Notamacropus eugenii: one gene and its partner. The protein of the gene in region 1 interacts with the protein of each later gene in a pairwise test. Links are inferred from orthologs where the notes say so. Each region holds a gene or a part of one and is shown in the gene's direction. Other genes may lie near its edges.

What was found.
Region 2: the proteins of EHD3 (region 1) and MICALL1 interact in binary tests that used the Homo sapiens proteins (3 or more experiments, as listed by UniProt). The link is inferred for Notamacropus eugenii from reciprocal best matches to the Homo sapiens genes EHD3 and MICALL1.

What each region holds. Positions count from the first base shown.
Region 1 is NC_092872.1:533,835,812-533,851,094, forward strand, and holds the start of EHD3 (EH domain-containing protein 3), read left to right. Parts: upstream 1-9,597; 5' UTR 9,598-10,330; coding exon 10,331-10,557; intron 10,558-15,283. UniProt on the Homo sapiens protein: ATP- and membrane-binding protein that controls membrane reorganization/tubulation upon ATP hydrolysis. In vitro causes tubulation of endocytic membranes. Binding to phosphatidic acid induces its membrane tubulation activity.
Region 2 is NC_092874.1:295,396,728-295,411,841, forward strand, and holds the start of MICALL1 (MICAL-like protein 1), read left to right. Parts: upstream 1-7,885; 5' UTR 7,886-7,897; coding exon 7,898-8,121; intron 8,122-8,447; exon of another isoform or gene 8,448-8,536; coding exon of another isoform or gene 8,537-8,682; intron 8,683-14,704; coding exon 14,705-14,753; intron 14,754-15,114. UniProt on the Homo sapiens protein: Lipid-binding protein with higher affinity for phosphatidic acid, a lipid enriched in recycling endosome membranes. On endosome membranes, acts as a downstream effector of Rab proteins recruiting cytosolic proteins to regulate membrane tubulation.

The sequences.
Region 1 (15,283 bases):
GACCTGACTCTCTAGTTTGTGAATTTTCCTGCCTTTAGGTTCTCTTGCTTTCCAAAGCTTATTAGTACCTCTCCCAGAGAAAGAGGAAAAAGGTGGTGATGACAGAATGAACTTGAGGTTACATATAGAACTACTGATCCAGCTGGAAATTGAATTAAGAACTCTTTGTGGGGTGACAAAAACTCACTCTCTCTGTACCTCAGTTTCCTCATCTGAAAATTAGATAATAATGCCTTTTCTACCATCCCCACAGTAGAAGACTAAATTCAATCTATTTCAATTCAATTTAACTTATATCTGTTAAGCAATCTACTACACATGAGGCATTGTGCTAAGTGTCAGAGTTACAAAGAGAAAAACAAAACAGTCCCTGTCCTCAAGGAATCTACATACTACTGGGGGAAAATCACATGTGTTCAGATAAGAAAATATAAAATATATAAAAGGTGATTTGGAAGTGGGTTGAGAGGAGAGCAATAACAACTGGTGAGATCAAGAAAGACCTCAGGTAGGAGGTGGCATAAGTGTTAAAGGATTGCAAGAGGTAGAGATAAGGAAGAAGGGTACTCCAGGATTGGGAGATGATATATTGTGTACCCTTGTAGCATGGAGGTCAGCATATTTAACTAGCATATAATGTAAATGAGGGAGGAAAGGAGGAGGGAAGGAGGGGAGGAAGAAAGGAAGGAAGGAAGGAAGGAAAGAAGGAAGGAAGGAAGGAAGGAAGGAAGGAAGGAAGGAAGGAAGGAAGGAAGGAAGGAAGGAAAGAAGGCAGGCAGGCATTTATTAAATACTCACAATGTGCCAGACACTGTGATAGCTCTGGGGATGTAAATATAAGCATGAAGAAAGACAATCCCTGACTTTGAGGAGCTTTCATTCCAAGGCAAAGACCACACACATAAAAAGAAAAATTAAAAGATGGGTAGGGAGAGAGAAGAGGAATAGGCAAATGAAGGTATTCAATGTGGGGACATGATTTAAGTTTAGAAAGCCAGAACAGGTCCAGAACAATAATAAAGGTAGATCTGGGACAGTCCACAAAACGGAGGCTCCAGGAAGAACTCACCAGCAGTAGAAGGGGGCAAACCTTAGGGAGGGATAATCCAGGTTGAGAAGGCCACAGAGAAGATGGATATTCCAAGGAGAGGTGACCCCACCAACTGAGGGAAATTTCACGATGATACAAGACATGATTTTGAATCTAGAAGCAAGAACCAAACCAGGAATAGGGAAATGAAGACCAACTTGGCATATGAGGAATGAAAAATATGAAATCATCCCGGAAAAATAGGTTGGAGCCAAATTTAGAGGGGCCTTCAGGGTTAAACAGAAGATTTGTTATATTATCCTAGCAGTAATAGGAAGACATTGGACTCTGGCTGTATGACTAATAGTTTTCATTCCGATCCTATTAAAATTTAGACTTTAATGAACATGATGATTTGGGAGGTCAGAAATGGCTACAATTTTGTAGCATTTCAGCTTTACCACACCATGGTCTGAGTCAGCAATATGGACAAAAACTGGAGAAGCTAGGAGGGTCAGCCCCAGAGGAGTGCGATCACTTACTGTCTGACTTTGGGCAGGTCACAATCTCTTTGAGTCTTGGTTCTAAATCTATGCACTGGTGATGATCATTCTTGCCCTACTTATTATAGGCTTGTCAGGAGGCTCTGATGAGATAATATGTGGATCATCACTGTCTCTCTGAAGTGTTACAAAAACCACAGGGTTGGCACATTCAAGCTGAAAGGGACCTTAGAGGCCATCTAATTCAGCCCCCTCATTTTATAAAGGGGAACAGAGGTTAAATGGCCTGACAAAAACCCCACAAATAGGAAGTGGAGCAGTGTAGACTGGAAGGTTAGGCCTCTGACTGCAAATATATCAATGTTATGGGTAAACTCTTATGGAGAGTTGTAAAAATCCTCTAGACTGAAGTTTGTTTTGAGAGTCTCTTCTAAGGGGACATGTGTGTAAACAGCAAGCTTTTGAATTCACTAGTATCAACACCTCTTTGTGCCTCTAACCAAAGTGGCTTATTTCAAAAGAACCCTTCTCATCCTGGATCCTGTGGTTGTTTGTTGTTCCTTCTGGAAGGACATCAGGAAATTGATGTCATGATTTGCAAGTGAATTGGATTTGAGAGAGGCCTGTGCAAAGTCACCAGTCTCAATTTCTCCTCAGGAGCCATCTGGGTCCATGGGTAAAATATAGTTCATGATAACTAGAGACGGCCCTGGAAGCACTGGGAGACCATGGCCTTTTTAAGCTAAGGTCTTTCCCGGGTCTCAGTATGACTGAGGCAGTGCCCATTCAGTGATTAAGGCTAGGTAAGAAATGAGGCAAAGAATGTCCTCTCCTTCATCAGATTCTACAACAAAGGGAAGAATCTCATTAAAGGAATAAGAATCAGAAACTTCATTCCAAGCTTTGGAAACCTTTGTCTCAAGGCCTTCATTTTTTTCATTTCTTTGATACCCTTAATTGACCTGAAAGATCAACTTGGTCCCTCTAGGAATCTGTATTAATCAAATGGTGAACCACAATACTAACAGGAAATAGAAGTAAAGTCAAAATATTCTCAAAATACTCAGCTTAAACACTTAGATACCTTCATGGAAGAAGCTAGTAGTGCAATGGATAGAAGCTGGGCCTGCAGTCATGGAGAACCAAATTCAAACTGGACCTCAGAAACATGCTAGCCATGTGACCCTGGGCAAGTCACTTCACTTCTGTTTGCCTCAATTTCCTCAGCTGTAAAATGGGGATAATCATAGCACTTACTTTGCAGGGTTGTTGTAAGGGTCAAAGAAGATAATTGTTTTAAAAAAAGCTCTTAGTACAGTGCCTGGATATGGTAGGTATTAAATAAATGTTTATTTCCTCCCCTCCCTTCTTCCTATCTATGATTTCCTCCATAGTATGTTCCCTCTATTGGTGTAGCTCCTAAATCCTCCATGCTTTCTTCTCTTAGGATATTCTTGCCCATGTCATTACATACATTCTCTATAAACTATCTACCTAATGGCCCCAGATGACTGTCTCTGTTTCCCTTCCATATCTTAGGGTAGCCCTTGAACTTTCTATTTGTAGTTTCTCATTCTCCATATGTGACCCACTCACCTCCTTTTCCAGTTACATGCACTCTCCTTTGTCAATGTTGTTTTAAATTTAATTCTTAGTTTAACAAAACATCAAACATTATGGGTATTTTCATGTATATAGTAAAATAATCCAAAAAAGATTGTACATATAACTGCAAATCTCTGTTATATACAGCTTGTTTTTCTTTTAAAAACATGTGGTAAATTCAACATGTAATTTCAAAGCTTCCCTGCTTGTCTGTGATTCTTTCTGACTTCCCTTCTGTTCTCTTCTGTGTTTTAAAAAATGTTTTGATGTCCCTGTTTTCCTCCTTTTCTTTTTTTTAAAATTTTGTTTACCCTGTCTCTAACCTACCTCCTTCCCTTCCATAACCCTGAAATTAAAAGAGAGGAGAAGAAAGGAGAAGAGAGGAGAGGCATTGAGGAGGGGAGGAAGGGAAGGGAGGATAAATAAATGTTACAAATATACATAATCAACAAAAGAAATTCCCCCATTGAGCTGTCTCCAAAACTGTATGCCTTATTCTTCATTTTTTGTCCATCACTTCTCTTTTAGGGGATGGGTAGCATGCTTGGTCCTCTGGAACTGTGATTAGTCCCTGCATTCATTAGAGTTCTCAAGTTTTCCAAATTGTTTTTCTTTACAATATTGCTCCTCTTGAAAAAATATTTTAAAAATTGTTCTCCTTGTTCTTGGTCACTTTATTTTTCATCAGTTCATAGGAATCTTCCTAAGGTTTCTATGAAGCTGTCCTTTTTATAATTTCCTATGACCCAATAAATCTGCCATGCATATTCTCAATGATTTTTTTTTTTTGCCTCCGGACAATAGGATCATCAATTCAGAGCCAGAAGGCACCGTTAGAGGTCATTTAGCTCTGTACTTTTTAAACTGTAGGTCATGATCCCATGTGGGGTCATAAAAAATTTGGCAACAGTAAAAGGTTTCTGAACTCACAATGACCAAAAATGATTAAAAACCAAATGTGTAATGAATCCGAGGCGTTTCTGGCAGCGCTTACCCATGTGGCATCACACAGTTTTACTGCAGCTTTGGTTCTGAATCAAAGCATGTGCACTTTGCACCATGCATGCCCTCGGGGCATCCAATGCCAACTGGCCAAAAAAAAGGGTTGAGAGTGGAAAGAGTTTGAGAAGTCCTGATCTAGTTCAATGATTATTAAAATGTGATCCACAGACCCTTGGGTACCCTTTCAAGTGGGTATAATAATACTAAGAAATTATTTGCCCTTTTAAAACACTCTCATTCTCTCGCAGTGTACAGACGAGTTTTCCTGGGGCTGCATGACCTAAGAATTAAAGATTTAACTGTAAACAGGAAGACCAAGCTACTAGCTCCTCTGCAGAATTATCCATTTGCCTTGCAAATGTATGAAATCTATGAGCCTTGTTGCTTGTATTCATCCAGTATCCGCACCAACTAATCATTGAAAAAGAACTTCTTTCATGTGAAGGCTTGGCAACAAAGAGAAGTGATGCTGAAATATTCAAAATGTTGAATAAAATTTTTGAGTCTTGTGGTTTATCTTGGAACTACTCTGTTGACATTTGTCATAATAGTAGAAAAAAATGGTGGATAAAACTGCTGGTGCCTTAGCATAAATCCGGGCAGTGGCAACAAACTGTTAATAATCATTATATTCTTTCCTGCCATGTACTCATAATTTAAAAGCAAAAAAAAGCTGGTTTCATTTAAGGGCTTTGAAGAACAACAAATATTATTAATTTGATTAAAACCTGAGTCTTGAGAACATATCTTTTTAATACTCTGCATGATGAAACAGGAAGAACAAATACAGCACTTCTGCTGTATACCAAAGTCCAATGGTTTTCTCAATGGTTGAGTTGCAAGCTAAATTAGTCTTTGGGGTTTTTTAAAAAATTTTTTATGGAATGCCATTTTTTAACTTGGAAGAATTGTTGATAAACAAACTAATGCGATCCTGGACTATATTAAGAGGGGCATAATTTCCAGGAATAGGGAGTTCTATTGCACATACCCTGATCAATTAGTCAATTTATTCAATAAGCATTTATTAAGTACAAGGATGGTCACTGCCCTTGCTGAGCTCACAATCTCATGGAGGAGATAGTATGCAAACAACTATGTAAAAATAGGCTATTTATAGGAAAAGGGGAAATAAATAAAAGAGGGAAGGAATTAGAACTAAGAGGACTGGGAAAAGTTTTCTGTAAAATGTGGGATTTTAGTTGGGATTTAAAGGAAGCCAGTAGGAAGCCAGTAGGCAGAAATGAGGAGGGAGATCATTCCAGGCACAGAGGACAGCCAGTGACAATATCTCTCCTGAGCTAAGAGATGGACTGTCTGGTTCAATGAACAGCAAGAAGGCCAGTGTCACTGGATCAAAGAGTATGTGGCAGGGATGGTATACGATTAGAGAAGTAGGGAGGGAAGGCAGGATGGGTTATGATGAGCTTCGAATGCCAAACAGGATTTTATATTTAATTCTGGATGCAATAGGAAGCAATTGGACTTTACTGAGTAGGTAGGTGGCACGGTTGGACTGTCCTTCAGGAAAATTACTTTGACAGTTAAGTAGAAGATGGATCCAAGTGGGGAGAGACTTGAAGAGGGCAGACCCTCCAGCAGGATATTGCAATATTTCCTGATACATTGAGATGAGGACCTGCACTAGGATGGTGGCAGCATCAGAGGAGAGAAAGGGGCATACTTGAGAGACAGTACCAAGGTACCCAGCTACAGACTGGAGGCAGAGGGTGAGACTAGTGAGGAATTGAGGATGAACAGGTTGAGAGCTGAAGCAACTGGGAGGATGGTAGTCTCCTTAACAGTATTTGAGAAGTTTGGAAGGGGGATGGGTTTGGAGAAAAGATAATGAGTATAGATTTGAACACATTGGGTTTAAGATGTCTATAAGACATCTAATTTGAGATCTCTAATAGGCAGTCGAAGATGTAAATATTTTAAAGGTTTACAAAGTGCTTTACAAATATCTTGTTTTATCCTTACAATTCTACTAAGTAGGTAGATAGTAATATTATCCTCATTTTACAGAAAAGGAAACTGAGGAGGATAGAGATTGAGTGACTTACCCAGGGTCACACAGTAAATTGGATTCTGAGGCCAAATCTGAACAGAGGTCTTCCTGACCCTAGGTCTAGTGCCCTTTCCAAAACGTCATCAAAATTTTGAGAGTAACTTCACTCAGGAGGCAATGGAGAACCACTGAAGTCTTCTCAATAAAAGAATAAAAATTATAGTGGTTTATTAGGAAGAATACTCTATCAGTGTTGTGGAGAATGTGGAATGGTTATAGGTTAGGGGTAAGAAGACCAACAAAGAGGCTTTTATGACAAAAGAGTGAGAAAAGATGAAGGCATTGTGGATGGTGAGACAGGGCTAGATTCAAGAGAACATGTGTAAGGAGAAAAGACTGTATTTGAAGACCAACCAATATGGGGCATAAGATTGGAAAGACTCATAGTATCAGGCTGGGTGTCTTTGAAGATGGCAGTGCCATTGAGAGAACTAGAAAAATTAGGGGGAGAAGTGGATTTAAGCAAGAAGATGGGACAAGTGTTTGCAGATGTTTGAAGGTTTGTGGTGTGAGCTGCTAATTCTTTCACCTTTTAGAGTACCTTTCACCTTTTACGTCTATGTAGAGAGAGATGTGGATGGACATAGGCATATAGATGATATATAGATATTTCTTGAATGTACTTCCTAATTTACATGTCTCTTTCATTGGAATATATGTTTACTGAAGGCAGGGGCTGGTTTTTTGTTTGACTTTGTCTTTGCCTTTGCAAAAGTTTTTGTCTTAGCTCTTAGCACAGAGCCCAGTGCATGTTAACTGTTCAATAAATGGTGGCTGACTGACTGACTGTTAACAGACTAGCCAGGTGGCGCTATCCAGTAGATAATTGGAAATATGTGACTAGAGCTTTTGGGTTGGAGATCTGAGAGTCATTTACTGAAACGTGCAATTGAAGCCAGAGGATGAGATCACCAAATTGAAGAGTGTAGATAGAGCAGGGATGGGGAATCTGCAGCCTCAAGTCCACATGTGGCCCTCTAGGTCCTCAAGTGTGGCCCTTTGACTGAATCCAAATTTCACAGAACAAATTCCCTTAATAAAAGAATTTGTTTTGTAAAATTTGGATTCAATCAAAGGGGTACACTTGAGGACCTAGGCCACATGTGAACTTGAAGCTGTAGGTTCCCCACTCCTGGTACAGAGGAAGGAGAGAAACAGGCCTAAAAGAAAAATAGATAAGTTGAGCAACATCAGGAGAATATTAATAAATATATTAAATTAAATATGTTAATAAATAAATTAATAAAATGTGATGACAAATATTAATAAAGACATAGTCCTTTGGAGCAACAAGCAGTATAAAATCACTGAGAGGAACACATGAATCTAAATGCAATCTGTTTTAGTCTCATCTTTCTACTCTATTCTGGGTCCTACTCACTGTTCATCTGCAATAGGCTACCCAAATCCAGACAGTAATGCATTTTTCATCTACTTTGTTTTTCCAAGTCAAATGCTTTTTAAAAATCAATAAATAATAAACACAGCAGAATCCTAACATCTCTCACCTGAGTGACTATAAAGATGTGACTACTGTAGTCCATTGGATTCAATTAAAAATGAATTTATTATGAACCTACTATGTTCCAGGCTCTGTGCTAAAAGCTGGGAAAACCTAGGCAAAAACAAAACAGTATTGGAAAAATTTGAGTAAACTCTATTTCTTTCTCATGTTTTCACCAAAGACACTTTTTAATGGATGCAAAGACCATTTTCATAGATTTCCTACAGATGAGAAAACAGATAGGTATGTGGGTAATGGTTGTTTTTTTTTAGTAATAGCTTCATCTGTGATTTTTCCCATTCTTTTGGAATCTTCCCTCTTTGAAATATCTTATAAATTGTTCTTTGAGTGCCTCATTGTTTTTGCCTTTAAAACCATGTCATCTTTAGCACAGATTTCATCCATATGGATTCGGTCAGGTCCAGCAGCTCCTCCTGACCTAATAGGACAATCTGAAGTCTTGAAGCATCTCTTCAGATGAGGAGTGTTTTTTGTCATTCTTCATATCCCAGGGCTTAAGCACAGTGTCTGGCACAGAGTAAGTTGATAATAAATGTTTACTGAATGACCCAATTGTTCACGTATAATAATGATAATGATAATAGCTAGTATTCACATAATCCCAGTGTGCCAAGCACTATGCTAAGCACTTTTTAATGATCTCATTAGATCCTCACAACAACCCTGAGGGTCAGATACTATTATTATACTATTATTATCCCCATTTTAAGGTTGACCAAACTGAGGAAGACAGGGGTTAAATGATTTGCCTAGGGTCACCTAGCTAGGAAGTGTTTGAGGCTGGATCTGAACTCCAGGCTTCCTGATTCCAGGTCCAAATGCTCTATCCACTTTGTCACTTTGCTGCTGCTTCACCTACACTGTGCCAGCCTCTGTGCGAGGCACTGCAGCCAAAGTTACAGGTATTTTCGTTGTCTCTTGACAGCAGCAGCAGCATAATGAGGAATGACTGCATGAGAAAATGAAATTAGGCTTTGGTGACATTAGAGAAAATAAAATTATATCTACTTAATAGCCTAAACTCCTAGCAACAAGAGGCCATGGAAACTGAGCTGGCCTCGGAGTCAGGGAACATAAGTTTAGATCCAGGCAGTAACACACTGTAACCACCTGACCCTAGGCAAGTCACTTAACCTCTTCGTTCCCCCAGGACAACTGTCCAAGACTGGAAGCCCCAGATCTGCACGGGGAGAAGACCTTTTGCTCACGGAGAGTTCTCTGCAGAAATGAAGTCACAGGCCTGGACCCTTCCCTCCCCTTCCCCCCTTCCTCGCCCCCCCCCCCCCCCCGCCCCAGATAACCCGGGGGCATATAGAGAACCCATAGAAGCTAAACAAATTAAACATGTTTTGCAAATAATATAAAGCCGTCTTTTCCCTCTCCGGCTAGGTTCTGGTATGAGAGAGAGCTGACTGCAGGAAGAGATGCCTCCTTTCACCCCGGGCCAGAGGCTGATTCGCCCAGCCGCAGCTCTAACCTGGGTAAATGCCACGCACTGAACCTCGGGGTGGGCAGGGGCAGGAGCCTTCCGAGGTCACAAACAGTCTGGATTCTAGCCCGCAGGGGGCGGCGGCTGCCGGGGAGGGGACTCGATCAGCCGCGGTCACCCTCAGCGCCGTCCCCAGGGGGGCGCCGCGTCCTCGCAGCCACACCTGGGCGGCAGCCTTCCCAGGCCGGCGCACCCCTGCGGCTCGGGCTGCCGAGCGCTCCCATCCCCCTGGCCTGGCCCTGCCCACAAGCATGGCGGCTCCCTGCGCGGCTTCAGCTCGCCCAGCAGCGCGCCAGGGGCTTGCCAGCAGAAGGCACTTCCGATGCTCCGCGGTTTCCTGCGGGGCTGGCATTTAAGCCCCGCCGCACAGGCTGGGGCATGCTGCCGCGCTCGCCGCCGCCGCCGCCGCATCGTCCGCAGGCGCTGAGCCGAGCACAGCCAGAGCCGGCTGCTCCCGGGGCTCCTCCCGGGACGACCTGGACCGGGCCGGCTCCTGGGCACCGCGGGACACTCGCCACTCCCCGGGCGTCTGCGGGGCTCGCGGGGAGCCGGGGCGGGGGGATTCTAACTCAGCGCTTCCTCGCAGCTTCAGCCCGAGCCGTCAGCACGGGCGGCTGGGGGAAGGCGGGGGTGGACGGCCGGGAGCTCGGCTGACACCCTGATTGCAGATAGGACTGCATAGCCCCGAGGTCCTTCAGGTCCTTCATTGTCCACCCCCTCCCCACGCGGTTTCTCCGGTGGATGGAGGCACTGAGGGGGAGCACATTGCGGCTCGGGCAGTTTACCGAGCGCAGCCAGTGTGCCTTAGACAGGATGCTGGTGAGCCGCAAGGCGCAGTGAGATCAAGGGTGTCTGCGCCTGTGTGTAGGAGCCCAGGGGTGTTCCTGCCTGCGGGGTGGGGGGCTGAGGTTTTGTGTTTTTCCTTCTCACCATCCGAATTTTAAAATAAATCGGACCCAGTTTTGCTAGCAATTTCCCCTGTTAGAAAAAGCAGAGAGAGCTGGGGGCTGGGCAGGGGCTCCCTTCCTGCCTATTTCTTAGACTAGGAGAGAGAGCGGACACCTGGGAGAGGCCATAGGGGAGCTTCAGCCCCCGCTCAGCCGAGATGTTCAGTTGGCTTGGACATGACGACCGAAGGAGGAAGGACCCGGAGGTGTTCCAGACTGTGAGCGAGGGGCTCAAGAAACTCTACAAGACCAAGCTGCTCCCTTTGGAAGAGCATTACAGGTTTCACGAGTTTCACTCCCCTGCCCTGGAAGATGCAGACTTTGACAATAAACCCATGGTACTCCTCGTGGGCCAGTATTCCACCGGGAAGACCACCTTCATCAGGTGAGAGAACTTAACTTCCATCACCCTCTAGATAGATCTGAATGTGTCAAAACCTCCAAAGAGCCTAGCTCCCGGAGCCCCACCTCCACCTCCTTAGAATCTCCACCACACGCAAAGCCTGCGAACATCTTGAAATATTTTTAGACAGTCTGGAGCTCAGAGAAAAATTAGGATCATCGATTTAGAGCTGAATGGCATCTTAGAGGTTAGCTAGCCAACCCCCATCATTTTATGTTCATGTAGTTGGGTGATTAATAAATAAATGCTTGAATTTTTTTGTGGATGAAGGAACTGAACCCCAGAGAGGTTGTGATTTGTTCAAGGTAACACAGATAGTGTCAGAGTTGGTATTTGAAAAGTTCCTCTGCCCCCTGTGTACCACCCCATTCCACTCTTCTATATGTAGTGCTGGATGTCAATTGAATTAGCTACTTTTTTGCATAACCTTTTTGCCTTACAAAGGGATTGGGGGTGGGGGCTTAGTTGGCCATATTATTTCCCTAATACTCAGCCTGAGAGAGATGAAGGAGATGGCTAAGTAAAGCTGTGGTTAGGTTTCCATAGTTCCAAAGTTTCCAGGATGTTTCTGAGTCCACTGAGGCACACATGACTTTGTTCTTCTCCTTCCTTGTTCTCGGTTAACCGGGAAGGACCCTGGTGTAAATACCTTCCCAGGACAGCCATGAAAGGCTTGACTTCCTGTCATTTCCATCTCTGAAATCAATAGGGGCTTAAGACAGGACATTAGAGAGCCACACTCCTTCATATATGGGAATTATCACTACAAGTGAAATTAAGCTTGCTTAGATCAGGATGGGTTAGGGACAGCAGCTGCAACTGTGGTTTGTGGAAGGGTTAGATAGTTGCATTTGGGTTGGGAAAAGAGCCTCTTTTGGAGTCTGTGGGAAAGTATCCATATGCATCAATTTAAAGCAGAAAGCTTTGATAGAAATGGCTTCCAGGACCATCTCCCATGTAGCTGCGTGGTTATGTGAATTTCGGGGAGGCTTTGCTCCCTGTTGCCTCTGGGTGGTGGGAATGATGGGGACTTCCATGTAGGTCCTCTTTTTGGAAGGACTGGCGATCGCAAAAATATTCTAGGCACTTACCCAGGTCAAAAATTCTGCTCCCTCCAAAAACAAAATACTGAGAAAAATTGTGTGTATTTTCATTTTTTGGTTTGTAGAGGCCCTGCTACCAAAAGCGACCAGGAAAAAGTAGACATACATGGACAAATCATCTTGAGACTTGCTACATTGTACGTAGCCTAATGATTGAGCCTTCAAAACCCCATAACTTGTGTGCAAAGAGGATGGTGACAAAGTATCGTCACAGAGAAAGAACATGGAGGATAAGGCATTTAATTTTGGTGACCCAGAGGATGGAACACTGGGCCTAGAGTTAGGAAGAAGACTTGAGTTCAAATCTAGCCTCAGATACTAGCTGTGTGATTCCTAGGCAACCCATTTTTGCCTCATTTTCTTCATTTGTAAAATAGGCATAATTGCCCCTACCCACATGGTGGTTGTGAGGATCAAATGAGTTAATAATTGTAAAATGCTAAGTACACGTTGTAAAATACTAAGCACAGTACGTAATAAGTTCTATATAAATATTGGCTATTATTATTATTATGGAGAGAACTTTAAAGTTTGCAAAGCATTTCACATAACATAATCTCATTTGATTCTCACAAAAGTCCTGATATTCCTAATTGTAAATTACTGCAAATATTAGCGCCATTTTACTGATGAAACAAAGGCTCAGATAGTTAGCTGACTTGCCCATGCCTGCCCTACCAGGAAGTATCAGAGATTGGATTTAAACCCTGGTATTGTTTACTCTTGTCCAATCATTTGCCCCTCTGTGATGATGCAAAAACGGTTTAAGTACTGGTTGTCCATCCGCATTTCTTTGGTCTCCTTTGCATCCCCAAATATTAAGTCTTTGATCTCACATGGGGGAAATGTCAGATTTTCCTCTTCCTTTTCTTGAACTTGGTCTTTATTGATTTATGAGTGCTGAAAGAGACTTTAGTCATCATCCCAATCCCTTTGTTTTATAGATGAGGAAACAAAAACCCAGAGGGAGAAATGACACTCTTAAGGTGACCAATAGTTCTTGGCCATCCAGGATTAGAACTCTGAGTTCCAGATTTTTGGTCCAGTGTGAGTAAGAATATTAAGAGATGCTCATTACCTTGAGAGAAGACTGCCCATTCCTTGGAGTGACAGACTGCTTGGGCTGGAGGGGACTTTACAGGATCAGTTTGTCTTAACAGCTTGCCTTGAGGGTTGATCCCAGAAGGGTCTATGCTTTGTGTTTTAGGACATTTTGTGAACTGCAAGCTCCTTCATAACTCCATTCCAGTCATAACATGTGGCATAGCAGAAAGAGCCCTGACCTTGGATGGTGATGTGGCATCTATCAACTGCAGTAACTTAAAGAGAGTCTCTTTGTTTTGTAGTTTACTAGTCCACAAAATGGTGACAACAATGTTTCGTCACTTTCCTCTTTGGGTCATTGTAAAAAAAACACCCACCTCATTCCTTTCCACTTCCAAGAAGATAAGCTCCTTGAGGGTAGGAACTATGTTACATTTTAAAATTTTCGTATTCCCAGTAGTAGCATTTTGTAAATTGTTCTGTTGAATTTTTTGGTAATCCTGACATTGAGATTATTTTTTATTTATTGTGTCATAGCATAAATGATGATGGTAAAAAGTTTGAGCTTTCATGCTCTGGCTGCAGGGTTTTAGGTTGGTGCCTTGCCATGGTTCAAGGGATACCACCTGAAGCTGGAGATTTTACCTTACTCTGCGGTGGACTGACCAGATCTTGTATAGTGTATTCAAGTGTGGGTGCCACTCTTTAAGGAGGACATCAGTCAATTCAGTTTTGTCAAGGTGGTAGGCAGTACGGGCAGCTACCAGGATAGTTATAGAATTGGAGAGATTTAGTCTGAAAAAGGAAAGATCAAGAGATAACAATAAATATCTCTAAATAATTTAAGAGCTGTTTTATGGTCTTATTGGCTGAAAAAGGCTGTTAATATTTATTTTGTATCTACAGGAAGTCTTCCATGCCACTGTGTGCAATTTCCCCAGTTAATGTTTTTCTTTAATATAGCTGTATCATTTTTTGTGAAATGGTTATCTGTTTATTTATTACATTACTGAATCACATAAATTTTTAACAAAAGAATCTTTCTTTAAAAAAAAAGAGGATTTATGAAAAAAGAAGTTAACTTTTTCTGTATAACTCCATGGGGATACAAGTAGAACCAATGGGTAAAACTAACAAGGAAGGAAATTTTGGTTTCGTTCATGAAGAAATTTTCTAACGAGATCTGGTAAATATGAGATAGTGAGCCTTCCATTCACTAGTGAAATCTAGACAGAGATTGGGTAAACCATCATTTTAGGGTGGCTGTGGAAAAGATCTCAGCTTTGGATTAGAGCCTGAGAGAGAGAGAGAGAAAGAGAAAGAGAGAGAGACAGTGTACATGCGTGCACGTGCATGCATGTTGTGTTTGTGTGTGTGAACCTGAGAATGGCACTTAATTTCTTCCTCAGTTTCCTCAGTTGTAAAATGGGAATGATAATAGTACCTATCTCAAAGAATTGGTATGAGGATCAGTTGAGATAATATTTGTAGAGGGCTTAACACAGTATTTGACACGTAGTAAGTACCATATAAATGCTCATTCCCTTCCCTCCCTCAAATGAGCTAATATTTGGAAAGTGCTTTCTAAGCACATAGTAGTTGCTTGATAAATCAGTGTTCTCGATTCCTTCCTCTCCACTAGTCCAGTAAACTCTATGGCTGGCTAAGGAACTACTGAGTAGATATATTTACGAATTAAGGATAAGAACATCATGGATGTTGTACTAGTTGTCTCTGAAAGTATGCTCATCACTCCTAACTTTTGGGACAGGTCAAGCTCAGAATTAGAGGTACCAGATCACGTGGAAATTTTAAAAAAATGCTTGTGATTCTTTGTGCTTGTAGCCTACTGGAACTACGGTGAACATCATCTTGGCTCTTTCTGGTAGCAGATCCAATTAGTCACTATGTGACCATGGGAAAGTCACTTTAATAATAACTCTCCCTCACATTTCTAAGGCATTTCAAGGTTTACGTAACACTGTAGCTATTGTATCATTTGAGCCTTTCAAAAACTATGTAAGGTTAGTGCTATTGTTCTTATTTCCATTTTGCAGGTGAAAAAACTGAGGCCATACAGCTAGTTTGTGTCTGAAGCTGGATTCCTGTTTCCAAGGCCAGCATTCTGTCCACTGTACTACACTGCCTTTCTAATCCATTTTATTTTTCTCTCTAAAGTAGGGATAATAATACCTGTAGGACCTATCTCATAGGGTTATTGGTTCTGGGGAGATAATGCATATAAAGAGCTCTGTAAATCTTTAAGTATTATATAAAGAAATTATTATTATTAATTAATATTGCCAGCATTAGGCTTACAGGAGTATGACTGGTTTACAAGAAGTGTGGCAAGAAAGGGTGATTGGGTAATAGGAGCAGATCAGCTCTTACCCTTTGAGGTCTGTGGAATCCAGTGTTAGTTTTTCCCATATGTATTTCAGAGCAGTCTGAGTCCATTCCCAAAGGGAAGGGACAGGAAGATAACTAGGTTCCTGGTCCAGTAGCTTCTCTATGACCCATCCCTTAAGACAGGCTTACCCCCCTCATTTAAAGTGCCAGTT
Region 2 (15,114 bases), on another chromosome or scaffold:
TGGATGGTCCTAGGTCCTTTGGTCAGGACTTACAGAAGGAATCTTCCACAACTCTTAATTGACCTCTTAGAGCACATGAGCACCAACCAGAAGATGACCCCCAACCTTGGTCCAATGACAAAAGATTGTCAAGTCAAGGTGAAAGGTCAAGCACAGACAAGGTGAAATGTATTATAAAGTATCTACTTCACAGTCCAGAAAAATTACGTTCAAGAGGAATTTTAACTATCAGGTTCCTGAGAAAGTGTAACAGTTAAGAGACTTAAGCTACTGACTCCTGTTTTTTAAGTCTTTCTGTCAGAGTTCTTCTAAATGTTTAATGTTTAGCCTTTCTTTTGCATGTAGGAAATAATTATCTGTCCTATTCCTGATGCATATTATACACTGAATACCTTTTAAATCCTCTCTCCTCTTTTTTTGAAAGACCCTAGATATGAGCTAAAATCTAAGTTTTAAACAATTTTCCCTAAGGTACTAGAATAGGTGTTTAAAAATCTTGAAAGCCTTTTAAGGACTTTGGTCAATATAATGACCAACCACAATTCCAGAGAGTGGATGATGAAATACATTGCTTACCTCGTAAAAAAACTCATGGACTTGGGATACATCATGAGACATATTTTTTGGATATGACTAATGCAGGAATTTGTTATGCTTGACTATACATATTTGTTACAAATGGTTTGAGTTTCTTTGCTTTTTTTCCCTCTCAGTTGGTGTGGTAGTAGGGGAATGTAGGAAAGGGAGAAAATAGATTTTTGTTCATTTAAATTTTTACAGAACATTTTTTAAAAATGCTTGTTGATCCACTGGATTCAGTCTCTACCTCCAGTCCAACATTCCAGATCCCACCATGGGCCCCAAGCTCTTGTTTGGTGAAAGTTTCCCTGATCTAGCAGATCTAAACCCACCTACATGATCTCCAATCATCTTCAATCCCTTCTTACCCCGCCCCGCCCCCCCAACATTAATTGAATTAACAGTGCCATTCCTAGAAAGATGGCAGCCCTCACCATCCCTATGATATTCCAGACCAGAACAGCTCTCCTTCTCATCACCACTCTCATTTATCTGTATCCTTCCTCTGTAATCAGTCAATTCATCAGCCAATCAACATTTGTTGAGTGTTTACTATATGCCAGGCATTGTGCTAAGCATCAAAGATACAAAAAGAGGCAAAAGACGGTTCCTGCCCTCAAGGAACTTAATCTAATAAGAGAGAAAACATGCAAACAAATACATACAAAGCAAGTTATATACAGGATAAATAGGAAATAATTAACAGAGGAAAGGTGCTGGAGGAAAAAGGGGATACCTGCAGAAGGTGGGATTTTAGTTGGGACTTAAAGGAAGCCAGAGAGGTCACTAGCTGGAGCAGAGGAGTGAGAGCCTTCCAAATCTGGGGGAGAGCCAGAGAGAATGCCCTAAGTTCCTCGAAAGCAGGGACTGCTTTGCTTTGCTTTTTGCATTTGTATACCCATGGCTAACAGGGCCTGGTATGTGCTAAGTCCTTAATAACCCTAAATGCTTTTCCCAGGCATCTGTTCCTTCATTCAAGGCAAATATAGAATTTTTTGTCTCTCCCTGTCAAATTTCATTTCCTTAGTTCTGACCCAGAAGTCTCTGGCTCCTGACCCTATCTATCATCCAGCATTAGCTAAGCTTCCTCCTAGTTTTGTACTGTTTCCAAATGTGACCAATATAATGTCCATACCTTCATCCAAATCACTGATTTAAAAAAAAGATTGGAGCCAAGTCTGGCTCCCTGGATCTCTCTATTCCATTCTAAACTGACATTGACCCATTAATGACTATCTTTGGGCAGAGTCATGCACACAGTTCCAAATCTATGTAATTATCTCATCCTCCAACCCATGTCTCTTCATCTCAAACTTAGTGCCAGAGACCTCATCAAATGCTCTGTTGAAATCTGGATAAATGACAACAGTACCCGCTGATCCACCAGTCAGTCTACTTATCGAGCCAGAAAAGGAAATGAAGTGAGATTGCCATGATTTACTTCCTTCCAGCCCAAAGGTGATGACTGATGGGACAAGGTCGGAGAGAAGACAGGTGTGGAGGAGCTAGAGTTTTATTTTTAGTAGAAGAGACAATGGTGTGTGTTAGTGGAGGGGCATTTTTAAAGGCCATTTCTTACAAGATCTCGTCTGAAACCTTATAACAATCGGATGAGAGAAGTACTGTAGGTGTTATGATCCCCATTTTACAGGTGAGGAAGCTGAGGCTAGAGCCAAGGTCATACAGTTTGTGTCAGGAGTCAGATTCGAACCTAGGTCTTCCTGGCTCTATGTCCAACATTCTATCTAGGAAGCCAGGCTGCCTCCTCAAAAACCCTTGAGAGACGCAATGAGAGCAGTGACATGCTACAGTGGAATGTGGACTGATTGGCAGTCAGAGGACCTGATTTCAAAAATGCTGCCTCTCTCGCTGTTGTACTTCATCTCTGGGCCTCAGTCTTCTTATCTCTAAAATGAAGGAGGTGGGGGAGGTGGCCTCTGAGGCCCCCACCAGCCCCAGGCTGAGGATCCTATGAAATTTATTCCCCATAACCCCACAAGGCAGATGATACAAGGATCTTCTCCATTTTCCTGGACTGAGGTCCAGGTATTACAAGCTTCTGCCCTTCAAATAGAGATCTCCTGGACCCTGAACCAGATACTCCATCCCAGCTCCCACTGTGGAAGCTGGAATAGTGAATGAGAGGCAGGTGCAGAGAGAGCCCTGGACCAGGTTCTGGATTCTAATCCCTGCTGTACCCTTACTGACATAGCTGGGAGACTTTAGATGAAAAACTTCTCTTCTCATATTTCATTTTGCTTCAATCTTTCATTTTTTAGAATCATATCCACAGTTGACGTAATATTTGCATTTTCTGGATTTTATTTTTCTTCTCTTATTTTACAAATCCTTACCTCATCCTAAAAAGAAAAGATTAATGTTTTATTTTTATGTGTCAACCTTGCAATATAAATTTAAGTGAAAAAACCCATAATTCAATGAAAAGCTTGTATTCTATTAAAATGACTTTTTTTTTTTAAACAAAAGAGGCTTGAGTTATGATCCCACACAGATAATTTTAATAGTTTTTGTGCCCTGGGCTTCAGAGGGCTCAGGTATTGATCTGTTCAGAATTCAATACTCCAAGGAGGGCATATCCCTTTGAACATCTCTGTGCCTCTGTTTCCCCATTTGGGCATAATCCTCATGGGCTGGACCTGTGACTTCACTGGGGTAGGGACCTCCCAGGGGGAATCTACTTCCTCTACCAAAGCTTGTCAGCACCTGCTTTGGTAATAATTTTAGAGAGGTTCCTGAGGGCACTGACAGGTGCCCAGGGCTCTACAGCCAGGGTGTGTCAGGACTTGAATCCAGACCTTCCTGACTTGGAAGCCAGCTTTCTATCCACTGTCCCTATGTTGCTGGTCAGCAGGTGATGCTTTGTGGCACAGGATTTAAAACAAAACTCAGTTCATGCTTTGGATCAGTGCTTGCCCAGTTCAGAGCGAGAGCTCATTAAATGCTTGTTAATATTGAGGGTGAGAATGATGATGGTCATGGGTGCTGGAAGAGTCAAGGACAGCCCAGGAAGGTGGGAAACAGCCAGGAAAGTCAGCTATTGGCAGGTTCAGATGTGATGATGGACACAGAAAGCCATCCAAAATGGGAATACATAATTTATTCTTTCCAGTCTTGTTCTATGATGTTAGTTGGTATTATTAGGAGGTTAATGACTGCCTGGTCTTGGAGGAATATGGGAAGGAGGATGAATGTATCTCACAGGTATCCTAAGAAGAGAACACAAATTGCCTCTGGGGACCAGAAGTGCTCCAGGGAACGCTGAACTGTCAGGTCACACTGTCCCCCATTTTGTGGTGCAACTTTGGCAAGGTGATTTCTCCTGATAAGCATGTGCTTTGGCCTTAGGGTCAGGACAGGACAAAGTACCAAGGGGGTTGTTAATGAGTTGGTAAGCAAGTAGGAAAGGTGGTTGTTTTCTTCAGTGGCCTGGAACCCACTGCTGGGGGTGTGTGTGTGTGTGTGTGTGTGTGTGTGTGTGTGTGTGTGTGTGTGTGTGTGTGTGTGTGTGTGTGTGTGTGTGTGTGTGTGTGTGTGTGTCTGTGTGTCTGTGTGTGTGTGTCTGTGTGTGTGTGTGTGTCTGTGTGTGTGTCTCTTTGTTTCCTTCTGAGACAGGTCTGGTGGTGCTGTGAAGATCCAAGGGCAGGTCGAAGGCCTTTACTTCCCATCCTCCAAGCTCTTTCCTCACCCACTTTCTGTCATCGACAGAAGCTCAAAGGAACTACTCCCTTCTCCAATTTAATTCTAATCAATTGTACCATGGAAAGAACACTGCCTCTGGAGTCAGGAGACCTGGATTCCACTTCTGCTTCTGATGCATGAGAGTGTTGGTTAAGGGGACCTTGGAGGTGTTCTGAATTATGATCCTATGAATCTTGAGGGCCTCAGTTTCCTTGTCTGTAAAATGAGAGTTGATGCATTTGGACTCTACATACAGGTTCATGTTCCTTCGTTCCCCTCCATTTTGACTTGGGGGCCTCTCCAGAAGGGAGAAAGCACCCACACCGTTTCTTTAGTCCTTTAAGGTTTCCAAAGGGCTCTCCAGGAAACTGGGACTCGTTTTATTTAGCTTTTGTTTCTTCAGCATCTAGAATTTGTTTTTTAACCAAACTTGTGATTTCACTGGCAGAGGGAACTTCCAGTGAGGAAAATCCCTTTACAAACACAGACCTGCACCTCCTCTACAACTTGTAGCCTCTGAGGGCACACAGTAGGCATTGACTAAGTGCTCATTGGGTTGGATCAGTGCCCAGTGCCCATTAGTGCCATATCAGATTTCCATGTTACAGAAGTCACACTGTATTGCTTCAGCCTGGAGCTGGATCACCTTGTCCAACCTTCTCCTGTTATTTTACAGGTAAAGAAATCAAAGGCCAGAGAAACAAGAGCCTTGTCCAAAGCCACACAGTTAGGTCACAAGGGACATCAAGGAGATGCCAGATCTAGACCTGGAAGAAGCAGATGGTTACCTGCTCTCTGGAGGGTTGTGAGAGCAGGAGCCTGCAATATCGCAGGTATCCTAAGAAGGGAAAACAGAATTGGACCTCAGAAACCTTCTAGTCCAACCCCTTCCTCTTACAAATGGGGAAACTGAGGCCCAGAGAAGTCATAAGACCCTACAGCTGGAAGACTCCTCAGAGGTTCAACATCCTTATCTTATAGACGAGGATACTGAGACTCAGGGATGTAGTGATAGACAGTGACAGAAGGATTTTAACCCAAAGAAGCACTATTTCCACTGTACCATACATGCAAATCACTTTATAAACTCTACAGGCATTATCTGTGGTACAGTGGAAAGATCTCTGGCTCTGCCCTCTGATTCTGAATCTGTGCTCTCCTGGTCCTGCTCAGGTCCTTTCCCTTGTTTGAGGGGCACCATCTGCTTGGTGGTAAGTGCTTTGATGATGGAGAGCAGCACATTTCCTCCTCTGTGTCGTCCGTATCTAGCATGGCACTGGGCACAGACCTTAATGACTATTGGTTGAATGGATTTAAGGAGTCCTATTGTCCTTTGGGTAGTGACATCACATTGGGATTAAAGGCTTCATAAATGCGATAATTGCTAGGGAAACCTCTCCAGTAAATCCATGTGCGGAGCTCACTTACTTGGCTTCTCCCTGACTCAGCTGCCTGCTTAAAAGAGCAACCTCAATGGGGATTGGGAGCACAGCTGAGCAGACACATCCGAATGACATCACTGGAGTGATGATAATATAATAGGTGAAGTTAGTGGAGTGGGAAAAACACCTCATTTAGTAATCAGAAGGTCTGAGTGCTAATTCCATGTTGTTGTTCAGTTGGGTTCAGTCCTGTCTGACTTTTTATGACCCCATTTGGGGTTTTCTTGGCAAAGCTACTGGAGTTGGTTTACCATTTCTTTCTCCAGTTCTTCTTACAAATGAGGAAACTGAGTCAAATGATTCTCCCAGAGTCACACAGCTAATAAGTATCTGAGGCCAGATTTGAACTCACAAGGATGAGTCTCCCTGACTCCAGGCCTGGTACTCTATCTACTGAGCCACCTAGCTGCTCTGTCTCTGCTAATTCCATCCCTGACATTTATTACCTGAGTGACCCTGGGCAAATCTCTTCAGCTCCCTGAGCCTCAGTTTCCTCTGTAAACTGAAGATGTTAGCCTAGAATCAAGGGTAGGGAACTTGCAGCCTCAAGGCCACCTGTGGCTCTCTAGGTCCTTGGGTGCAACCTTTTGACTGAATCAGTGTTTACAGAACAAATCCTTTTATGAAGGGAATTTGTGCTGTGAAGTTTGGATTACACTTGAGGTCCTCGAGGCTGCAGGTTCCCTACGCCTGGACTAGAGGGATGCTGAAGTTCCTTCCAGCTTTAGATTTCTGATCTTATAACAGTGGGCAAATCTCTCCCCCTACTCGAGCACTAAGGACTTGCTATAAATGGTGGTTTGTTGTTAGTAGTGGTTTGGCTTATCATAGCCATTGTTATTAGTAGTGGCTTGCAGCTTTACAATTTATAATGGCTGGGTTTTGTCCATTCTCGTCTGAAGGTCACCATAGACCTGGAGATAAGACAAACCAAGAATGATCTAGGGCATAGATTCTAAGGGCCCTGGTGACAGTGTATGACTAATCCAATGACCAGCCTTGCTAAGCGACAGTAGGATATAGTTGTTAGTCTCTGGGACTCTCAAGAACCATCTACCAGTCATAGAAAAGGTGCACTTGGCCCCAAATGAATCTGACCAGGTCACTCCCTAACTCCTTAAACTTCATTGGTTCGATCTTGCCTCCAGGATAAAAGAATGAAAGTCAAAGCATTTTTTAAGCCTGGTCTACATGCCAAGCACAGTGGTGGGCAAGGAGGGGAACTTTGGTCCTGAAAGTTACAGGGATGGGCTAGTGGAGTATAAAATACAAAAACCTTAGCCTGGCTTCCGATCCCCCTTTCCAGCTTTCTTTCACAGTATTCCCTTTGCCCACTCCAGGAGCATTACTATAGCTCTCATCTTATCCCTTTCATGCATGCACAGTCTATCCCTCTCCAGCCTGATAAGTGCTCCATCCTCAGCTTGGCCTGGTGACAACTTTTTCCCCAAAAGTCCAGCTCAGGACCACCTTGTCTAGGAAGGCTTCCTTGGTCCTAGTCCAACTGAAAGTTTCAGGGCTGCCCAAACCAAAGAAGCATTTTGTCTCCAACACACTAGATCTGTCCCAAAAGTTTGAGTGCAGCTTCTGCACTCGCTCTTTTTTTATGAGTTTAAACTGCACTAAGACTTTTAGGACATTCTGTACTATACTAATTCAAGTATATATTATTGCTTCCCCACAATTAGGCTTATTAACTCCCTCAGGGCAAAGACTGTTGCTGGTTTTCACTTTGGTAGGTCCAAGGCTTTGCACATCAGCAGTAAGTCCTGGGTAAATGTTAGTATAGTATTATCCTTATAGTATTAAGCAGTCATTAGAGGATCCTAGTTTTTAGAGCTGGGAGGGATCTTGAGGGGGAAATGGAGACTCAGCGAGGGAAAGAAGGCTTGGTTAGGGCCATCGGACCCCAGAGCTGGAGCTGGAGATCTCAGAGGCCAGCCCTTTCATTGTGCAGACGGGGAAACGGAGGCCCGAGAGGCCGTGTAAGGTGCAAGCCGCAGGGCTAGCCCTCGGACTCCAGGCTCCTCCACGTCCTGGTTACCGAACCCCCTGTCTCCGTGCGCGTGTTCAGCCTCCCACCTCGGGGGCCGCTCTCTGGCGTCAGGGAGGAGACCAGGCTGAGCTGGGGGGCGGAGGCCGGGAGGAGGGGGGTACTTGGCGGATCCTGGAGGAGGATGTTCCCGAGGCCAGCGAGGGGCTCCCGGGCCTGGGAGGGGGAGGGCTCGTGCCGGGCATCCTTAGGAGGGCGCAAAGGGTATTCCAGGAAGGAAGTTCTCGCCCGCCTCGAGGAGGAAGGGGGGCCCTTCGGCTTTATCAGGCCCTGGTGGGGACGTCGGGGGCTCCGTCCCTCGGGTGTCCGTGCAGGGGCGGCTCCTCTCTGCAGCGGGGAGCCCTCAGGGTAGGGTAGCCCCGGCGCGGTCGGTCTGGGGCCCCGGGGGATCCCTCGGGCACGTGCACCTCGGGAGTTGGGGGGGCCCCCGCGGGGCTGGAGGGAGGGAGCGGGGGAGGTCTGCGGTGCCTCTCCAGGGGGGATGCGGGGTGAGGGTGGGCCCCCGGTCCCCCCTGCCTCCTCCGCCCCCTGCCCCGCCCCGTGCGCCGAGCCGGGCCGGGCGGGGCGCGTGAGTAAGCGCCGGGCGGGGCGGGGCGGGGCCGGACAGGTCTGAGCAGGGCCGGGGGGAGGGGCAGGAGGAGGGGGAGGGGGAGGAGGAGGAGGAGCCCGAGCCGACAGAGAGCCCAGCCCTGGAGCCCGAGCCCGAGCGGCCGGAGCGGGGCTGCCGTGGGGTCCAGTCCGAGGAGGAGGCGGCGGCCGGGCCATGGCCGGGCCCCGGGCCGCGCTGCTGGCCTGGTGCCGTCAGCAGTGCCGCGGCTACCCCGGCGTGGAGATCCGGGACCTGAGCGGCTCCTTCCGGGACGGCCTGGCCTTCTGCGCCCTGCTGCACCGGCACCGGCCCGAGCTGCTGTGAGCGCGGGGGGATGGGGGCCGGGGAGCAGGAGGGGGGAGGGGGCAGTGCGCCCCCGCCTCGAGCCGGGGCCAGGCGGGCTGGGGACCCGGCCTGCGGGGCGGGGCTGCAGAGAGGCTCGTCAGTTTCGTTTGGTCCGGAGGCCGTGGGAACCGCGCGCGACCTCCCGGTGTGCGCCGAGCCGCGGGCCGGGGGGGGGGCGGCGACGGGGGCGCGGGACCCCTCCTGTGCCTTTGGGAGGGCGTGGGAGAGACTAGTGAGTGTGTGTAGTGTGCGAGCGTGAGTGTGTATGAGAGTGAGTGTGAGAGTGTGTGTGTGTGTGTGTGGTGACTGTGTGTGAGACTGTGGGAGTGTGACTGTGAGTGTGTGGGAGAGGGAGAGGTGCCGAGCCGCCCGTCAGGTTCCCGAAGCCTTGCTCAGATCCTCCGGCCGCTTCCCGAGGTCACTCTCCCCAGGTGGGTCAGCAGATGGGCTACCACCCGGAGGCAGGAGCAGCCCCAGCTCCAAGCAGGGGTTCGGAGATCTGGTCTAAACTCTGTATGTGCAGATGGGGCACCCAGGGCCCAAGGCAGAGGCTGCTGAGGCCAAACCCTGTGGGCCACAGATGGACTTAGTTTTAAAATCTAATGCTATCTACGTTTTATTGTAAATTTTTTTGGTTAAATATTTTCCAATTGGATTTTAATCTGACTTGGCTGCCCTCTGGAAGGTTGTAGGCAGTGTGTCCGACACCTCTGATGTAGAAGACAGAGTTTAAGATTTGGAGGAAGCCTCAGAGGCCACCCAGCATTTTACAGAGGGGGAAACTGAGGCCTGATGAGCCTGAATGGGTTCCTGAGGGTCCCAAGTGTCAGAAGTAGCGTTTGAACCCTGGGCGCTCTCGGAGGGAGTTGGGCTCCAGGGCTTCTGAAGGCCTTGCCAGCTGTGTGTAATTTTCTGTTTCCTTATCTGTAAAAATTCAAGGTTGGGTTAGATGCCTGGGAAGGCCTCTGAGCCTAAGACTGTGTTTAAAGTCACATGGCCCATTAGGGGCCAAACTGAGACCAGAACTCAGGTGCCCTGCTTGGTCCTTTGCACTGCCGATCAGGGTCTTAGAACCAGTCAATCTGGCACAGAGAAAGCACTTTGCTGGGGGGCCCAGGAACTCAGGGCCCTGCCATTAGCTTGCTGGGTGACATTGGGGAAGTCCCTTCCTCCTGTTCCTTAAGATTCTGAGATCAATAGCAGAGTTGGGCCAGAAAGGCTGACCCTTTGACCATCCTCATTCTCATGGACAAGGGCAAGAATCTGTGAGTGAATGAAGATAAAAATCCAGAATTCTGTGAGAGGAGGGAAGTCGTTTTATCTGGGCCTGTGTTTCTCCATCTGTAAAAGTGAGAGAGTTGGCCACTGAAGTCCTTTCCAACTCAATATCCTCAGATGCTGCTGATAAGCTTTCAGCTCCTGACCTGGACACCAGAGATACAAGGTGCCCAAGGGACCAAAGCATGGGAGTTAGGATCCAAACCCATGGCTTTCTTCTCACAGGTTTCCTCCTGCCTGAGGTCCCAGGAAGTATCAGAACCAGGTTGGCCCCTGGGATCTTCTGGTACTGTGCCAAGCCACACCAGGCTGTATGTCAGAGGTGCCAATGTGGATGCTCCCTGATGGTCTTCTGGCAGTAGGAGTCAGTGATTCTCTCTTGCCTTCCTTTCCCCCAGTGTCAAGTATCTAGTGTGAATGTGTGTATGTGAGTGTGTGTGTGTGTGTGTGTGTGTGTAAAAAGTTAGTTGGTTTCACAACATCTGGTTAAAGGGCACTTCTGTGCTCTGCTTCTACCAGGTGTATAGACCTCTTCTCCCTCCCTGGCTAGCCCTGGCATTCTTACCCCTGAACAAATGAACTGTTTGGGAAGGGGGAGGCTCCTCTGGGGTCTAGGCCCCTCCCACAGGGAGTGGTAGGCTGGGTCTGGGAGAGCCTTGAGTGAGACTTTGAAGGGCTGTGAAGGCCCCTGTCCTGCCCCTGTGGGTAAGGAGGAAATTTAGGCCAATATTGTCTTGGACAAAATAGTAAGGTGCAGTAAGGGGAGCAGATGAGAGCAGTCTGTGGGGCTCAAGGCTCCCTAGCACAGGGAGCTTGCTCTGGTTACAGACTGATGGGGGATCTAGCTGATGGAGAAATGTCTGTGTGCAGCCAGGTCTTGTATGGTGCGTGGCACATATGTGTTTGTGGGACAGGCTCAATTTTAGAGCAGGGACAGCAGCCAGGCCTCCAAGTCTTCCAATGTGCCTCTCACAACCCCATGCTGTGGGTTTTTTTCCCTTAATCTGGGTATACAGTTTGGGGACAGACACCTTGGCATGGTGACCTTGACGTCAGAAAGGCCTAGGTTCAAGTGCTTCCAGATACATATTGGCTGTAGGGCCCTGGGAGGGTGGATTAATGTCTCATGGCCCCCAGGAATTTATAGTCTAAGACAGTATTTGCAAGTGTTGTTGTACAGTCCTGTCTGACTCTCTGTGACTCCATTTGGAGTTTTCTTGGCGAAGATACTAAAGTGATTTGCCTTTCCCTGCTCCAGCTCACTTTACAGATGAGGAAACTGAGGCAAACAGGGTGAAGTGACTTGAGCCAGTCTGCATCAGTGGAGGGAGATTCCATACTGGGATGAGTTCCTGCTGTTGATAAAATGACAGGAAACCCTCCTTCTCCCCACCTTGGAAAACAAAATAAAAACCGAACAAGCCCGGATCTCGCCAGTTTAGGAAAGGAAACCAGGCTGGCTGGGGATGGATGGAGCTGCCCTGGGGCTTGGCGCAGTGCCCATTTATGTGCAGCCTGGTTAGTCTCCCAGGCCCCCCACACCAGGGCCTTACAAGGGCATTGCCTGATGTGGGGGGGCAGGGCTGGTTTCAGCTGCCCAGGATGGAGAGAAGCGAGGAGAGGGAGAGGCTTTGGAGCTGGGGGGGAGGGAGAGGGTCTAGGTGAGTGAGGCTCCAGGCTCAGCTGGAAAAACAGGCTGGGAAGGGGAGGTGTTTTCGGTGCCTCCCAGGGCTGGCAGAGACAGTCTCAGAATTCTAGGTCTGTTAACATAGAAGGCACCTGAGAGGGCTTTTGGGGCCAGATGCTCCCTGTACAGGTACAGAAACTGAACCAAGTGGCCCCAAAGCCACAGGAGGGGTATGAGGAGGATGGATGGGCTCCTCAGGCATCTCCATTCAGGGCAAGGGGTGGCAACTGTGTGAGTTAATTGATTAGAAGGAAGTGAAGTCCCACAAGCCCTCTTTGGGCCTCAGTTTCTTTAGCTGTAAAATGTTGTTGGAAAGAATTATCTCTAAGCTCCCTTCCACATCCCCTGTTCTAAGCTTCCTCCCAGCCCTGATACTCCCTGTTCTAAGATCCCCCTCAGCTCTGACATCTCCTGTTCCAAGGCCCCTCCCAGCTCTGACATCCCCTGTTCTAAGCTCCCCCCAGCTCTGACATCTCCTGTTCTAAGGCTGCTCCCAGCTCTGACATCCTGTTCTAAGCTCCCCCCAGCTCTGACATCCCCTGTTCTTAAGGACCAACCCCACCTTCCCCCTAGCTCTTACATTTCCTGTTCCAAAGACCCTTCCCAGCTTTGCCATTCTCTGTTCTAAGTCCCCTTCTAGCCCTGCCATTCTAAGGCCCTTCCTAGCTCTGACATTACCCATTCTCAGACCCCTCCTTCCCCAGAGAAACAGCAGCCCCTCTGTCCTGCCCTTGCCCTCCCCCCAATCATGCTCACACCTGATGGGGAGGGCCATCACCTGCAGACCTGTGGACCACATGGCAACCCTCCCCCCTCCGCCTGCCAGACCAGCTCAGTCTGGGCAGGGAGGATGAGACATACACAATTAAGTCAGAAAATGATGCAGGAGCCTGAGCATTCAAGTGCAGACAGCTGCTGGGGCTGTGGGGGATTAAGGACTGGAGAGCCTGGGCGGGTGCCTGCTTTGGGGGCTGGGCCAGGGCACTGAGGCCTTCCATGGGGCCCTTGGCCCCTTCTCATCCTTCCCTGTCCTGTGATGGGGAACTGAGTCAGGTAGCCCATCTAAGTGCACCGAGCAAAGACAGTTTAGAGATAGTGGAAGAAACAAACTGCTCACTCTGCTCTCCCCAGTCTAGAAGGGCTGTCACTGAAGCATTCTGGGCCTTGATTTCTTCCTCTGTAAAAAAAAAGGGGCTGGACTAAGTCTGATTATGTGACCCTCTGACTGAAGCTCCAAGGCCTATGAAAAACAGCTTTCTTCAAGTCTTGGCTGCCACTTTTTCCTGGAAGCCTTCCTGAATTGCCATCCCCACCTGACCCCCAGCTAAAAGGGGCCTACCTTTCCTCTACTCTTCCTGAATCTGGAGCCCTGCTAACAGCTCCCATCACTGCCAAACTCAGTGTAGTAGCCCCCTGGAAGGGACCCCCAGACACCATCAGATCCAAGCAGAATCATGCTTATAGGGTTAGGAAACAAGGTGCATTTATTAAGCACCTCCTATGTGCCAGATGCTTCTGAATGTTTTACAAGGGTCTCATTTGATGCTTACAAGCATCCTGGGAGGTAGGTGCAGTTTTTGTTTTCATTTTACAATTGAGGAAACTGAGGTAGACTGCAATTAAGTGACTTGCCCAGAGTCAGCTAGTAAATGTCAGAGGCTGGATTTGAACTCTGGTCTTTCTGACTCTAGGCCTGGGATCATAGATAAACAGAGCTGGAAGGGGCCTTGGAGGCCATTTAGTCTAAACTCATGTTACAGATGAAGACACTGAGACCCAGGGAGAGAGAGAAATGACTTGTCCAAGGTCCCACAATTTGAATTCAATTGGTCTAAATCTATGTGCTTTTCTCTGCATCAAGCTTCTTAAGAGACAGGCCTGGCCCTTGTTTATCTCAGGATCTCCCTCGACCAAGCCAGGCCCTTGCACCTTAGCTGCCTAATCAGGGTTTTCCAATCCGGATTCTCCCGGAGAACCCACCTTCCTTCTGGTAAAGAGCTTCTGCCCTTCCCTGACTGCAGTGACCAGTCTGAAAAAAGGGGGTAGAGAGGTGGTAAGGGCTCAGGGGGCCCTCAGAGGCCCAGGTCGGAGCTTCTAGTCACCAAAGGGAGACAGGAGCAGGAGGTGATGCTGGGCAGGATGTGAGCCAGGACACCAGGGTCCATGTCCTGGGCTGCTCTGGACTCATGGTCAGAGTTTAGAAGCACTGACTCCCAGTTCTCAGATCCCTCGGGGGTGGAATGAGATGATGGATGTCCCTGAAATACTAGAATGATTTCTCATGTTCATGGAAGCCATGATATCCCCTCTTTTAAGGCCCCCCTCCCTAGCTCTGATATCCCCTGTTCTCAGGCCCCTCCCAGGCCTGACACTCCTTGTTCTCAGGCCCCCCCAGCCCTGATACCCCCTGCTCTCAGGCCCCCCAGGGCTGACACCCCCTGTTCTCAGGCCCCTCTCATCTCTGACACCCCCTGTTCTCAGGCCCCTCCCAGCCCTGATACCCCCTGTTCTCAGGCCCCTCCCAGCCCTGACACCCCCTGTTCTCAGGCCCCTCCCATCTCTGACATCCCCTGTTCTCAGGCCCCTCCCATCTCTGACACCCCCTGTTCTCAGGCCCCCCCAGGGCTCACATCCCCTGTTCTCAGGCCCTCCAGGGCTGATACCCTCTGTTCTCAGGTCCCTCCCAGCCCTGATACCCCCTGTTCTCAGGCCCCCCAGGGCTGACACCCCCTGTTCTCAGGCCCCTCCCATCTCTGACATCCCCTGTTCTCAGGCCCCTCCCATCTTTGACCTTTTGTGTTCCAAGGTCTTCTATGGTCTAATATTCTGTGCCCTAAGGACTCTTCTACCTCTAAAGTTGTGTGTGTTTAGGATAGTCAGGGTTTCTTCCTCTAGGCTTTATACAAATGGGAAGGGATCTGTAAGTGCCAGGTGCACCCGCTGCAACTGGCAGGTCCCTGACTCCCCCATCCCTACCAAACCTGCTGAGTCCTGTCCAGCCCATCCCTTACTCTCACCTTTGTCTGTTCCAGAGATTTTGACTCGCTCTCCAAGGACAATGTCTATGAAAATAACCGCCTGGTGAGTCCCAGACAGAAGGGCCTAGAACAAAAGTGGGAGAGAAGGCGGGGGTCCTCTTGGGATCTGGGGCAGCCCCTCCCTGCCTCCATGGTGCCCCTCAGCCTGGCTCTGGGCTCTGGATGCTGGGGACTGAAGTGGCTCCTGGGGTGGGGTCTCTGATGGGAGTGCCCTGCTCCCCTCTTCTCTTCCTTTGTCCCCACCCCCTCTAGGTGTCTGAGAAAGCAGGCTGTTCAGTTCTTCCCAGAAGCAGCCCTCCCCATCCTCTCCTGGCTGCAGGGTGGATGTAGACAGTGATGTTTGTGGGGCTGGGAGCCAAGGAGAGCCCTGGCAGGGATCAGGTGGGGGATAGGGGGCCAGGAGC